Notamacropus eugenii: one gene and its partner. The protein of the gene in region 1 interacts with the protein of each later gene in a pairwise test. Links are inferred from orthologs where the notes say so. Each region holds a gene or a part of one and is shown on either strand. Other genes may lie near its edges.

What was found.
Region 2: the proteins of PGBD1 (region 1) and SCAND1 interact in binary tests that used the Homo sapiens proteins (3 or more experiments, as listed by UniProt). The two-hybrid records come from large-scale screens. The link is inferred for Notamacropus eugenii from reciprocal best matches to the Homo sapiens genes PGBD1 and SCAND1.

The regions. Positions count from the first base shown.
Region 1 is NC_092873.1:73,251,206-73,258,876, reverse strand, and holds the start of PGBD1 (piggyBac transposable element-derived protein 1), read right to left. Parts: upstream 3,635-7,671; 5' UTR 3,508-3,634; intron 1-3,507.
Region 2 is NC_092872.1:419,853,233-419,860,710, reverse strand, and holds SCAND1 (SCAN domain-containing protein 1), read left to right. Parts: upstream 1-4,327; 5' UTR 4,328-4,446; intron 4,447-4,594; 5' UTR 4,595-4,675; coding exon 4,676-5,122; 3' UTR 5,123-6,490; downstream 6,491-7,478. UniProt on the Homo sapiens protein: May regulate transcriptional activity.

The DNA of each region.
Region 1 (7,671 bases):
AAAACACTAGAAAATAATTAAAAGTAAATTTTGCAAATTATACAAACATGGCCCCAAAGAAAAGACCCGAGGAGTCACCCCTAACCTTCTCCTTTGTAGAAGTTGAAGGGTCACAGGTGTGGGACACTGTATATATTTTCAGACTTTTTCAATGCATTAGTCAATTTTAATTTTTTCTCTAATCTTTTTTCTTTAAAAAATATAATGCATAATATAGCTGGCTTTCTTGGAGGGGGAAGAGATGGTATGTTGGGAGAAATTCTGGTGATGCAAAAAAAAGACATTTATAAAAATTCATTTTAAAGAGGAGATATAAGGCATGCAGTGGAAGTAGGAAACTTGGATTCAAGTTCTAACTGATGCATAGTAACTGGGTGGCCAAAGGTAAACTGCTTAAAATTTCTATGCCCCTGACAATGTAAATTAGATTAGAAAAGAGTTTCCACACCTGGAATTCCCCACACTGAAGAAACAAGTTTCTTCCCCACCTATCTCAAATGTGCTTAAACACTGTAGGAAACACTAAGGATACAAAACTAAAACAATACTGGACTCAAGAAGCTCATATTCTACGGAGGGGTGTGGAGCTAAGAGAGAATATATCATATACACAAGTAAAATTTGAGGAGGAAAAAAAAGTACTACCAAATGGGGAAACAAAAAATTTAAATCTCAATGAAAAGAAAACTATTCTACTTGATGGAGATGAGGAAGAATTCTTTCTTACTCTGGGCACTGACACTACTCGTGCAAGCACATAGCAACAGAAGTACGCTGCTAACTTTTCAAAATAGCTAGTCATCCAGTCTGGCTGCAATATTGAATTCAAAAAGGGGAGTGATTAGAAAATATGGCTGGAAAGACAAAGAAGACCTACAATGTGCACTTCCTTACATACCAGACTGAAGAGTCTGTATTTTATTCCAGAAACAATGAATAAGTGGGAGAATTACACAACCAAATCTTGCTTTGAGAAAATTATTCTGGTAGCTGGTAGGCAATCTTACTATACCTCCCCCCCTCACCAAGTCACTAACTTTGTTTTCATAGTTGCTCTTCCAAATCTTTTCATCCCTTCTGAAACCTCCCATGACTTCCCAATTCTCTCAGCTGAGAACTTTCACTCATATTTTACACAAAAAAAAAAATTGAGGCCACTGGGCATTAACTACTTCTACACTGTTCTGGACCTCCAATGACTCAGATATCTTCTGCCACTTTCTTCTCCATCACCCCATTTCACATGATAAAGGGGCCTTACTCCTTATCCTCTAAGCAAAACCACCTTTTCCAAGTCTGCCCTGTCTGTCACCTCCACTCTTTCACTTAATTTCAATCTCTCCTTGCCTACTGCCTCATTTCCAACTGCTTTATAAACTTGTCCACATCAACCTTTTCTTGAAAAATCTCTCAATCCCCCCATTCTCACCAAGTATTGTCCCTTATCTCTTCTGTCCTTTGTGGTTAAAACTCCTTCCAAAGGCTCTCTACAATAGGCCTCTTAACCCCTTAAAATCTGGATTCTGACCTTATCATTCCACCTGAAAGTGCTTTCTCCAAAGTTACTTATGATCTCTCAGTTGCCAAATTCAATGGCCTTTTCTCAATCCTCATTTTTCTAAATCTCTGCAACCTTTGACACTGTTGAATACTCTCTCCTTGGTATCTTCTTCCCTCAGGTTTTTTAAAATACCCACTCTTTCTTGCTTTTTGTCTTACCTGTCTGTTCCTCTGTCTCCTTTACTGGATCCTTTCCAGATTATACCATCTAACTGTAGGTTAGCGTTTCCGTCCTGGGCCCCCTCCTCTTCTCCCTCTATTCTGCTTCACTTGGTGATCCGTCGCCTCGCGTGGTTTTCATTATTATCTCTATGCTTCTGATTCTTAAATCAGAACTTACCCCAACTTCTCCGCTGCCCTCCAAAGTGGCATCTCCAGCTGCCTTTCAGATGCCAGTAGACATCTTAAATTCAATCTTGTCAAAACCGAACTCAGGATCTTTCCCCCAAACCCTCCCACCTCCCACCTCCCACCTTCCCTGTTACAGGAGAGGGCAACACCATCCTCCCAGGCCTCCTGGATTCCTCCCTATCTCTCACCCCCCATAGCCAAGCTGTTGCCAAGGCCTGCCACTCCGAGGCCTGCAACCTCTCAAATACGTCCCTTCCTCTCTGAACTACTCACCAGTGCAGGCCCTCATCCCTGCCCCTCACCTGGACCATCGCAACAGCCTGCGGATGGGCGGGTGACCTCCAGCCTGCCTCCCCTCCATCCACCCTCCATCCGGCTCCCCCTCTTTCCCGCGGCGGACCCCCTCCGGCGGCTTCCTATTGTTTGCAGGAGCAAACGATCCGTTCGGCAAAGAAAGCCTTCCGTGACCCGGCCTCCTCCTACCTAGGCAGTCTTCGCCACCGGCCCCTGGCCTCCGAGGCGCGCCGCCAACTCTCTCCCTCCTCCGTTCTCCTGACTCTTCAAAGTCAATAAATTCCGCCTTCCAGGGGAACCCTTCTCCAAGCGTTCTTAACGCACGCTAGCACCTGAGGCCCGATTCGGATCCAGCTCCTCCCGCCTCTGGGGCCGGGACGCACAACAGAACCACCCACCTCCTCCTCCCGTTTCTAGGAGCGGAGCAGAGCGGCGGGGCCGGGGGGCCGGGGCCGCGGCGGGGCCGGGGGGCCGGGGGGCCGGGGCCGCGGCGAGGCCGGGGGGCCTGCCCCTCCTCCTACGGAAGGCGGCGGTGGTTATCATAAACACTAGCCGGTCATTCTCAAGTCAAAATGGCTCTGGGGCTCGGAAAACGCAGAAACCGGGGAACCGCCTTCTTACCGCCAGAGCTCGGGAGAGCGGATCCCAGGGCAGCTCCTCCCCGGGGGACGGCCGGGGGCCTTGGTTTACCCACAAATCCCCCGAGCTGCCGCAAGGACCGCGGCGCAAATGCGGGGAGCAGGCCCCGAGCAGGGCCCGGCGTCCTCCGCGGCGGGAGGGAGGCGCGGCCGGAGCCTCTAATGAGCCCCAGACACCGACGCCATCCCCAGACCCGGCGTACCGAGGCCTTTCTCCTCCTTCTCTAAGTGCTTCCAGCAGTCAGGGAGGCGGGAGGAGGGGGGCGGAGGGAAGGCGGGGAGAGGGAGGGGGAGAGGGGAGGGGAAGGGGGGAAGGAGAGGGGGAGGGGAGGGGGGGAGGAGAAGAGGAGGAGGAAAGGGGGAGGGGAGGGAAAGAGGAGGGGGAGAGGGGGAGGGGAGGGGAAGAGGAGGGGGAGAGAGGGAGGGGGAGGGGAGAGGGGAAGGGGGAGGGGGGAGGGGAAGAGGAGGAGGAAAGGGGGAGGGGAGGGGAAGAGGAGGGGGAGAGGGGGAGGGGAGGGAAAGAGGAGGGGGAGAGAGGGAGGGGGAGGGGAGGGGGGAGGGGGGAGGGGAAGAGGAGAGTGAAGAAGCGGGGGAGGAAGAGGCGTTTCACCCGCACACCCCTCCGGGCCGATCCCGCGCCCCCATCCCCCTCGGCGGCACTCACCACGAAGCCTGCGAGGGTACGCGCCCCAGAAAACGCGTGGGCGCTCAGGACCGACCAGGCTTTCCAGGATTCGCCGGGCGCCCAGAAGTGCGCATGCCATCTAGGTCGTGTCTGCTGCTCTGGTCCTCTCTAGGAATCTCGAGGCGGACTGGCTGCATCTCTTTGTTCTCCCACCTTAGGGTCCCGCCCACCGAGCCTGAGACAGTGTTGGGGGAGGGGGCGCTGGGCTCTCTCTGCTTGGAACCCTGGCAGGCTCCCTCAGAGTCACAGGGACCCTCTCGGCTGGGAATCCTTCCTTTCTCACTGTCTCCCTCTTTGCTGGGACCCCCAGACCTTTGCCTCTTTTCCAGTCAAAACCTGTCTTTCAGGGTCTTAACAATTCATAAGTCTCTCTCTCCCTCTCCTCTGTCTCTCTCTCTCTCTGTCTCTCTCTCTCTCTGTCTCTCTCCTCTCTCTCTCTCTCTCTCTCTCTCTCTCTCTCTCTCTCTCTCTCTCTCTCTCTCTCTCTCTCTCTCTCTCTCTCTCTCTCTCTCTCTCTCTCCTCTCTCTCTCTCTCTCTCTCTCTCTCTCTCTCTCTCTCTCTCTCTCTCTCTCTCTCTCTCCTCTCTCCCTTCTCTCTCTCCTCTCTCTCTCTCTGTCTCTCTGTCTCTCAGAAGTGTACATTTTGATAGTAATAATAATAGTTTAATTCTAAATCATATTAACATTTGCATAACTCCCAATGGGGTTGGGAATATCAATTATTTAGTTCCACTTTACAGATGAGGAAAGTGAGGTGCAACCATATCAAAGTCTGAACCTCAATTCCACCTTGAACAGTCAGTCTTCACGATGGGACCCAGTATTTCTGGTGCAGAACAGATTTTGACTGATTTGAAAAAAATCTAGGGAGAATCTGATCTGGTTAAGCTCTGTCAATCTAAATGGCCATCGTAAACTTAAATGAATGGCCTTGGTTACCTAATAAGTTTTACAAATTCTACAAGTTAAAATAGAAGTTCAGTTTCTGAAACAAATGAACTATCAGTTTATTAGTTTAGCAGCTTCTGAAATGCACCAAGAGGATCTCTTTTTGGACATACAGGAAGCCCATAGGCAGTATCTTATTCCTTTAAGGGACAATAACATCACACTTTACAACCTTGCCAAAATAAAACCAAAAAAATTCTCTATGAAATTCTCTCACTGATAACTTTTATTCTTCAATGAGTAAGATGAGAAGAGAGAACAAGAAATAAGAGTGGAATCCCAGAGGCAGGACAACTTACCAGATGCAACTGATAGCTGACCAAGAATGTTATTTTGCAGAATTTAAAGAGAACAAAAATTTGACCTCACCCTTGTCTAATTACTGCCACGAACTCAGGTACTGGAAAAAGAAATTTCCAGTCCACTCCAAACAACCAGTATATTCCCCCCAAAAAAATTCACTAGAAGATAAGGAAGTGAATGAGAGTTATGCTGAAAATGTCTGTTTTCCAAAAAAATACATAGTCTCATTTCTGTGTTCCTAGGTTGAAAACAGAGAGAGAGAGGGAGAAGATACAGACAAAGAGAAACAGAGATAGAGAGAGAAACAGATATTCTTTTTTATTTGCAGAAATCTATGACATTTTAACCTAACCAGAAACTATATTTGAGAATAAAATGTAATCTGCAAGTCCAAATTATGATGAAAATGTAGTTTTTATAAGTGCTAAAATATCCTAATGGTTTTTGAGGTTGCAGCTCTCTAGGATTTTTTTTAAAATAGAAAGTTTGTGAAATTTTCATGAAAGTAGCTTTCAGACTCCTTTATCTTTCTGTCCCTTCCCTGAAGAGTTACAGATTTATTGTTTTAGGGTAGAAAAGGAAGATAATTTCTCTGACTAGAGAATTCTCAGAAAGCCTTAAACGGAATGGAAGCCATTTTAAAAGTTTTATTTCCAGTAATTCCAAAAGGGGAGGAACAAAATGTCAACAGTTTTGCAGTCTGCAGTTTCTAAACTTGCCTTAAGCAATAAGCACTAAGAGCAAGCTGATCTTAAGTCCTCTTCACTGGTTTCTAAGTTACTAGAATAGAATACCAAAATTGATGGATAAATGAAATTATTTTTCCATGTAAGACAAATTAGAAGTGCATTTCCCTGAATGATGTCCTTTGACTGGCAATAAGTTTTGCTTCATGTTTTAAATCCATAATATTGTTTTATATTTTTTGTTATGCTCTTAAAATTTTTACATCATGATCTTGCCAGAATATAAGAAATACTATTTATTGGAGAAATGATAACTAGAATGTGATGAATTTGTATTACTCTCACTTTTATGTGAATGCAATAAAGTGATGAATTTGGATAATCACTTATTGGGAATTTTTGTCCTTTGTTCTTATACTGAAAAAACTGTCTTGAATATTTAATTGGCTATATTTTTCTTGAAAATCAACAATGATGTTCATTTAGTGCTTGAGAAAAGTACAAAAGGCCTTGAAAAATTCGCATTATCTTTGAAATTATTTGGGGACTTGTCAGGTCCTTTGAGTTTTCAACCTTGACAAAGTCATAAAATCTTATCAGTTCTGTGAAAGAAGGAACTATAAAAACAGATATGGCTAATGAGAAATTTTTTAAATTCTAAGATACTTATCTGTGCAAACACTCAACCGGAATGGAGGATAGCTTGGTGGTTGTCCTTTGTTCTGGAACAGGATCAAAAATGAGTCATTATAGTGCATCTGAATGTAGCTGATCAGATCAATATGAGCTCAGAATGTTCTACCACCAGGTAGGGTACAAATGAGGTTGATGCATGCATTGCCAGAGCTAGCTCAGTGTTTGGGAAGATCCAAAGGAAAATATGAGAGAGAAGAGGTATTAGACTATCAAACTGAAGGTTTATAGAGTTGTTGTGCTGACTTCATTGTTGTATGCCTGTGAAACCTGGACAATATATTGGTGCCATGCCAGGAAACTGAATCACTTCCATATGAATTGTCTTAGGAAGGTTTCATAGATCACCTGGCAGGATGACGGTACCAGACACTGAGGTCCTTACCCAAACTAAACTGCCAAGCATTCAAACTCTGCTTCAGAGAGCACAACTCTGATGGGCTGACTGTGTTGTTCAAATGCAAAATATAAGCTTGCCAAAAAGACTATTTTATGGAGAACTCACATGGGGCAAGTGTTCACATGTGGTCAGAAGCAATACAGGAACACTCTCAAGGTCTCCCTTAAGAACTTTGGAATTGATTGTGTAACGTGGGATGACAAGCTCAGCACTGCATGTCCACATTCAAGAATGTGCAAAGCAGAATTGAGACAGCTCAAAGGAAATGCAGGAGGTGCAAATTTGTAGTACCCACCCGAAATGCACATGCGGACTAGTTGTGCTTGACTTGTGGTACAACATTCCAAACTTGCATTGGTCTGATCACCCACAGATGCACACATTAAAACTTGACTCTAGCATAGTGATGTCATTTTGGTCCTCTTTGAGAATGAAGGACAACAACCATACCATGCTCATAGAGCACATATAGCACAGCACCTTCTCTTATGTCACTGTCTCCCACATCACACAATCAATTCCAAAGTTCTTTTTTTCAATTTATTCATTTATTTAGTTTGAGTTTTCAACATTCAATTTTATAAAATTTTGAGTTTTAAATTCCCCTCCTGTTGGAGGTGCAAGCTCAGTTCCATGTGGACAGTCTCGGGCAGGTAAAAGTGAGGACTTCTAAACCTTAGAGTTCTCATGAGGCCCCCCAGGGAACAGCTGGGAATTGAGGTGTGAGACCCAGGCTATCTCGTGCATTTCCGCCTCTTCCCCATGGGAAACTTGCTGGGGACAGCATCCTGCCCTCGAGATTAATCCATGGTCTGAGCACACCTATTGTTGTCTAGCTAAGGGCTGAGAACAGGCACGGTATTCAGGTGCAAACTATGCAGCAGGAGAGCTTAAGTAGAGTCAGGAAAGCCTGAAGGCGCTCTTAGCACTGAGGGGCCCTTAGAGGGCAGAGGGTCCCTCCCCTCTCCCGCTCCCAATCTCTTACTGTAAGATCTTTGCCTCCTTGGGAGGAGGACTCCTCTCTCCTGAGGAAGAATTCCCCCTGCACATGTAACCAAGACCCTGAATAAAGCCTAACCCTTGTTCGACTCTGGAAAGTCTCTTCTCTCATAC
Region 2 (7,478 bases), on another chromosome or scaffold:
AAGCCAGATTAGAGTCAAACAGGAATATTCGTGTGAACTAATGCAGAACAAAGTAGGCAAGAGATCAAAATATACAACAGTAATTTTTGATCTACATCTGTGATTTCCTTGGCACAGTGACCATCTTGTCTTTCTCCACTATTATAGTAACTCTTCTGTAACATACAGTCTTAGAGAACTATCTCGAGCATTGAAGTTAAGTGACAGGTTAAGTCACTACTTAATGACAGAGCAAGGAGGTGCTTGTAAATGTTTCTGAAAATTCATGAGACACTTTTGATTTTAATCTGCATTATTAACATTTTCTCCATCACTTCCATAAGTCTAGATATTCAACAAAATAAAGCAAGCCTTAATTTGTAGCATTATCTGAGTTCAAGCTGGTTACAGTACACCCCTGCTCCTTAGATCCACTAAGCTAGACAGAAACTCCAATATGCCTATAGATCTCCTATCAGCATTGTGAATATTCCCTTCAGCAATGGAGACTGTAACCAACCAAGTTTGTGTCCATATGCTCTTGTAAACACCCAATGTGCCAAGGGTCTTCCTCATGTACTCTTGACATTGAACAGAGATATATATTCATAAATCATATATACATATATGTATATAAATATAATCTGCAAGTGCTTTTTTCCCTTTTGGTGAAAATAAAGGGAACAGGGGTGGGAAGAGAGGAGTTGAGGAAGTGGGGAACCACAGATAGTACTACTAAGAATCTCCCCTAGGGCAGTGAGGGCTCACCAGAAGAGAAAGAAGGGATGACTGTTTATGCGAGAGTCTTTCATGTTTTGCAATTTCTGCTGAGTGAAAAGAAACCTATCTATTTCTTAATATGGGGTGTGTGAACTTTTATTTTTATTATTTTATTTCAATATAATTGATTTTCTTTATACTCCTAGGTGTTTTATTTTATACATTTGTATACATTTTTCTGAGAAAAGGTCCATAGGTTTCACCAGATTGATTTGGACATCAGAAGGCTCCTCCTTGATCCTCCATTTAAGGAGACGGCCCATGGCAGTCACTTGGGCTGCTCCCAAAGATTTTATCATGATCTCCATGCAAGATCACAGCAATTCTGAAACTCTCACCTTCTCGGTACCACCAGCCCCTAGCCCACCCTCTTTCAGATTGGAAGGGGCAGAGGGTGGACACCTTAGATATGGGAAACGAAGGAAAAAGTTCTGTTTCCACAGGATCAAAACTCTCAATGATGGTCGTTAATTGGAGTTGTGACCTAGCATGGTCAGAATGAAGGTCAGGGCCTTGTGGGTAGGCTTGGCAAACTATTTAGGGGAAAGTCTATCAGAGAGGAGAACATGAAGTCATTGTAAGCAGTCACCTAAAAATCCAACTGCACTTGTTAATGATGCACAGTGGGCGTGTCAAAAAATTGTGACCAGAAAGAATATGGACCAATCCATTCTCTGATGGGAGGATCTGTCCTATACTAACTTTATAAAAATGCCCTTACTTCCATATCTCTCCCTCTCTCCCTTTTTGAGGAAGGGTAGAGTTTACCTTGGCCAATGAGTTCAATTCTCTGAACTCTACTTAAAGAAATTTTCCTTGATACTCTGTGTGTCACATGTGTTTCTAACAATTAGAGCTCTTCCCTGATCCTCCATTTAAGGAGGGCACTGTGGGCAACCAGCTCATCATTTCCTACTCATTTCCTATACAAGACTTCATCATATTGACTTCAACATGGCACTAGAACCCTTCCTTTCCTTTTCCCTCAATCCCTGGTTCTTTTCAGCTTCTTTTTATAAATGTTCCCTCATTAGATTGTGAGCTCTTTGAGAGCAAGGAATGTCTTTTACCTTTCTTTGTATTTCCAGTACTTAGCACAGTGCCTCTAGATGCTTAATAAATGTTCATTGACTGAAGTATCAAGAAAGGTTAACAACCCCTGTTCAATTGGGTGTGGAAGATCTTATAACTTTTTTTTGTAAAGACCAAGACATGTGTTATATATACTGATAATACCTAGAGAAATCATGGGTGGAACATGAGCCAGTAATTAAAACCAGGCTGTGGAAACCCAGAACTGTGGTTGTGGACCACAGGTTATTTGGGGATATTTGGGAGTCACCTGCATAGAAGTGATCTTTGAAACTACAGAAACAGATGCAGATGAGATCACTCCAGGGATAATTAGGTAAGAGATGAAGATTGGACAAGGATTTAGGAGGTGTGAGGAACCAGAAGATCCCAGCTAGAAAAGTAGAGGAAACTAAAAAGGTACAGTTGGACAGATAGGAAGAAAACCAGGAGAGAGCAATGAAAAGCCAAAGAAGAAAGGAATATAAGAGCGGACAAATGTCAAAAGCTGCAAAAAAACAAAGTCAAGAAATTTGAAGACTGATTTGAAAAAATTTGCTCTTTGTGAACATCAATTTAGCAACTAAGAAGCCATTAGTGACCTTTGAAAAAACAGCTTCCACAGAGTTATGAGAAAAGAAAATAGAATGCAAGGGAGTAAAGAATGACTAAGTGGTGGTGACTAACAATTTCCCAAAGTTTAACCTTCTAACCCAGTTAATTCACTCAATTTTCAGACCGCTCAGGGCAATGAGAGCTGCCTGCATTGGTGGTGCATGAATCCATTTTTGTCTTAGCATTTTCTAGCAATACCAAGTTCCTAGACCCCTATTCACTAGGGCTCACCCAGAACAGGAATCTTACCATCTGTTCTTCCACATAATCGTATCATGCCTCCCCTCTCCCCACACACTTTTCACCTCTTGTCTACCAAACAATAATTAGCTCAGTACTACATTTTCTATTGGAAAGAACAGGAACAATAGACTGCCCTGTGTTTGCAATCAACAGTTCCTGTGACTGCCTTATCCAAAACTTCCTTCCCAGACCACCATTCCCTAATATTGTATCATACCCCCTTGAAGGCAGGGACTGTCTTTTAGATTTGTATTCTCAAGTGCCTAGATGCCTGTCACAAAGAACAAATAAATGCTTGTTGATTGTTATAGAATGAAGAGGATATTTTTGTCAAGGAAATATTTTTTTAAGGAGAAGCAGGGGTTGAAGATGTTTGCAAAGGAGCCAAAAAGAGAAAGACTGAAAATGAAAAATTGGGAGATGTAATGGTTGAATGGCAAGAGCAAAGTGAATAAATGGGAAGATCCCCATATTGGGAGACTGAGGACCTTTTTTGACTCTGTTACTATTTTGGTGGCCTTAGACAAGTCATTTTCCCTCTTTACGTGTATTTTATTTATAAAATAAATATGCTGGTCCCTCTCAGCTCTAGAGCCTATAGAATTCTAAATGTTTGTTCAGATCATTAAAACTCCTCATTTCAACACGGATACACACAATAGGCTCTTCAAAAAAAAACCTTTTGTGCTATTTTTTAAAATCACCATAATTTCCCCCTTCCCTCCCAGAGAGCCATCCCATATAGCAAATATTTTTAAAGACAAAAAAAAAATTCAATATAACTGATCAAAACATTGAAAAAAATTGAAACTATGTATACTTTGTAAGGGTGGACCTCCTACCTCTTCTCATAGCTCTTCTGTGGAGTTATGCTCGTTTTTGGCCATTTCGTCACATTCACTTGTGATCATATGTTTGTAATTCTGTTTCCTTAGCTTTGCTTACTTCACTTTGCATCCCTTTTGTGCATACCTTTCCCTATTTCTCTGTATTCATCCTATTTCTAATTTCTTAGAGGAGAGTAATGATATTCCATTATATTCATGCACCTCAATTCACTTTGCCATTCCCCAATCAATAACCATCTACTTTGTTTCCAGTTCCTTGCTGTCACAAATAGGCTATCACAAAGGCTGCTATTATTCTTAGTATTTGGGTCATTTCTTCTTATAAACAGCCTTCTTGAAAGTATATCGATAGATAGATAGATAGATAGATAGATAGATAGATAGATAGATAGATAGATAGATAGATAGATAGATAGATGTGTGTGTGCACATATATACATATACACATATACTATATATATCTACCTATGTATATGTATGTATGTATGTATGTATGTATGTATGTGTATATCTATCTATCTATCTATCTATATCTCTCTATCGAGCAGTGGAATCTCAGGGCCAGATATTACAATCACAATTCCAAACTGCCTTCCTAAAAGGTTGCACCGATTCCCAGCTCCAACAGTGCACGCACGTGTCTGCCTTCCCACAACCCCTCCAACATTCGCCGTTCCCAGAGGTGCGCTGTTTGCGGAATTGAACTTCCCACGCCCGGTTCCGCGCCTAGAGCGTCCCTCCGCCACTAGGGGGCGATGTGCTATTGGGGGGGGTTGATTGAGCGTTAGACCATAGAGAAGCTGCTTCCGCTTCCGGAGTTTTACGCTTCCTTCACGATTCCGTTTAACGCTTCGCAGACCCGTTGTTTAAATAGCCTGTCTCTGTGGCTGCCGGATCCCGACGTGAGGAGGTAAAGCGCCCTCGGGCCACCGTCCCAACCGTCATCTTGACCTCATTCTTGCGACGAAAGCCTAGCTCGTCACAGAACTGCCCAGGCCTCCTTTTTGACTAGCGCTGACTCAGACACAGGCGCAAAGCGATTCCTCTTTTCTCTTTAGGTTGGCCGGAGTCCACGCTTTGGCGCAGGCGCAGAGAGACCCCAAGTCGCGAGACAAAGGGTGACGCCGGGAGCCGTCGAGATGGCGGCGGAGCAGGGGAGTACGGGCCGGTCGATCCCAGCGACCCCGGAGAAAGAAGGAGCTTCGCCCCTGAAACTGGAGGAGTCTGACGCTGGCCCGGAGGCCTCGCTCCCTGGCCCTGCGCCCCCTTCCGCTTCGCCCCCGTCCCCGGTCCAGCTCCCCGCCGCCCTCGAGGCCTCTCCCCCAGCCCACGGACCCCCGGGGGCCCGGCCGGGCCCGGAGACGTTCCGCCAGCGCTTCCGGCAGTTCCGCTACCACGAGGCGGCGGGGCCGCGCGAGGCGTTCCGCCAGCTCCGCGAACTGTCCCGCCAGTGGCTGCGGCCCGAGGTCCGAACCAAGGAGCAGATCGTGGAGATGCTGGTGCAGGAGCAGCTCATGGCCATCCTGCCCGAGGAGATCCGGGCCCGCCGGCGAGGCCGCCGCGGAGACGTGCGCATCACCGGCTGACCGAGAGAGCCCGAGGCCCCGCCGGCTGGCGAGCGAGGAGCGGCCTCCGCCCTCCGGCCGCGCAGAGAGGCGGCGGCGGCGATGCTGACGCCGGGGCCGCAGCGGGCCGCACCGTAGCGAGCTTGAAGCTTCTCCCCTCGTCCGGGGGCCGCCGAGCTCCCGTTGTCTTGTCTGTCCGCACCCGCCTCCGCGTTAATGAAGCCTGATTTTTGGCAGTCGTGGCCTGTTGTGACTCTTTCCTTCGCCTCTTGGTTTTCTGCCTGGCAGCCTCCATCGCCACTCTCCATGTGGCTACCTGGGGGGAGGGCGCCTAAGGTGGAGACTGCCCAGTGCTCTGTCCTACAGTGGTCCCAGTGTCTTGTGAAAGTAGCCATCTATTCCTTCTGCTGGAGCACCTCATGTAAAGAGACCTGATCGATGTCCTATGTCTGGTAGTTATTTTTTTCGTGAAAGGTCGGAGGACCTGCAAGGGACCATACAGATTCTATCTAGCTCCCTTATTTCATAGTAGAGGCTTGTTGTTAAATTGTTGTGGAGGAATGAAAAGATCATTGGCAGTTCCTTTCATGTTATTTTGGGGTAGTGCCTTTTACATGCGTTCTATCTTTTTAAGTAACCAGGCTCAGGGAGATCAAGAGTTGGCCTAGGGTACACAATTGATACTAGAATCGGGGGCTTTTTGTGCACTGTTTGAGGATGCCTTTGTACCCTCTGTATGGTAATATCCAAATCCGTTAAGTGTTTAGCAAGAGATTATTGCAGAAATGAGGTTGACCTACAGTTGAGGTTTAATAGCACCGGGTTTGGTACCACCCACTGAGCCCAATGTAATGCATTTTTTCCTTTTCATTACAACTCCATATTAAGTGTCAAACCACCTGTTTTTAGTTTAGTCTTTCACTCTGCCATCTACAATATGGAGAAAGATGCATCTCTTTCTTGCCCTTGGCCAGTGTCCCCTGGAGTGGAATTCTTAGGAATCTGTGGTCCAGTGCTGATGGACCCCCACCCCGGGACTGGAAGATTTAGTGAACTGTTTGTGACATTCGGTGACTTAAGATCAGCAGTGGGCCCTCTTGGGACTGTTGTGCCTAGCTGGTGCCTTTCTTTCTAGTTATTCAGGAGTGTGTCTGAAACATTCACATGGAATTAATTTACAGCTAATAGCAACTTTTTGTGTTTTAGTTTTAGGAAACATGCTAAAACATTTGACTTATGTCAGAGCTGAAATTATCTGGAGCTGGAGAATGTAAGCATAGCCAGTTTGGTGCTTCGGCAAGACATTGTATTTCCTCACTTCACTGCAAGCATCAGGTGCTCCTGGCATTTTTACCCTCTTAAAAAAGCATTAAATTATTCATCAGAAAAGGATTCTTGTGTTCCTTTGTGAGTCAAACTGATTTCCTGCACTCATAAGTTGTAAGGTAAAACTTTGTCTTCACTGCGACCCATCTTCTACTCAAGGTATCACGTTTTTGGAGGATCCATGATTTCATTGGTATGATTTTTATGTGATCATTAGGATTCCATATGCAAAACCTTGTTTTATAGAAAATGTCAGTGGTTACACAGTGTTTTATTAAGGGACTTAAGTGGTAGGAGAGTAAACAAAATAAGCACTAATGCATAAAACAACAAAAACCTATTTATTTTTTCCAAACACAGATAAAGAGGTTTGCATGTTTTGTAAATATTGCTCCAAAGCAAAACTTCTATATACAGTGCCCTCCATTCTAATAGTGCGTAAACAAACAGTTACATCTCCACAGTGCAATGTTGGCTCATCTCATCAAGGTTCTACCTTGCATTCACCCACCAATTTAAAGAAACAAAATTTAGTCAAACCAGAACTGATTCTGCCAAGACAATTTTAGTAGGATAGCTTTCATCCAAATAGACAAAATTCAAATTTAGGTAACATACAATAACTAAACATTTCTTAAAGGTAACAGCAGTAATTGTTTCCAGTGCTCCAACTTTAGATTAACTAAGCTTGGTCCAGCATTCAGAGATGGAGGCTCTTATCCCTGTACCATCCTCTGTATCACATAATAAGACAGAACCTCTTCCAAAGGAAATTTGAAAAGGGGCGTACTGTAAGTCTTCAGTTGAATAAAATCCCTCTCTGAAGACCTTGCTTTTTTTATTGCCTCTTCTCAGGAACACAAGTCTTACTTGATGAATCAAATTAAATGAAATGGAATTTTATTTCTTTTTAAAATTATCCAGCAGAATGAACAAAAACTGGCCACTTGGCAGAATTCAAGAGGAAAATTTTCATTTCTTTCCCCAACTCTGTAAAAAATCTAACCCGTTTCAAACCAATTAACTACCTTCAATGTTAACTTACTAATGA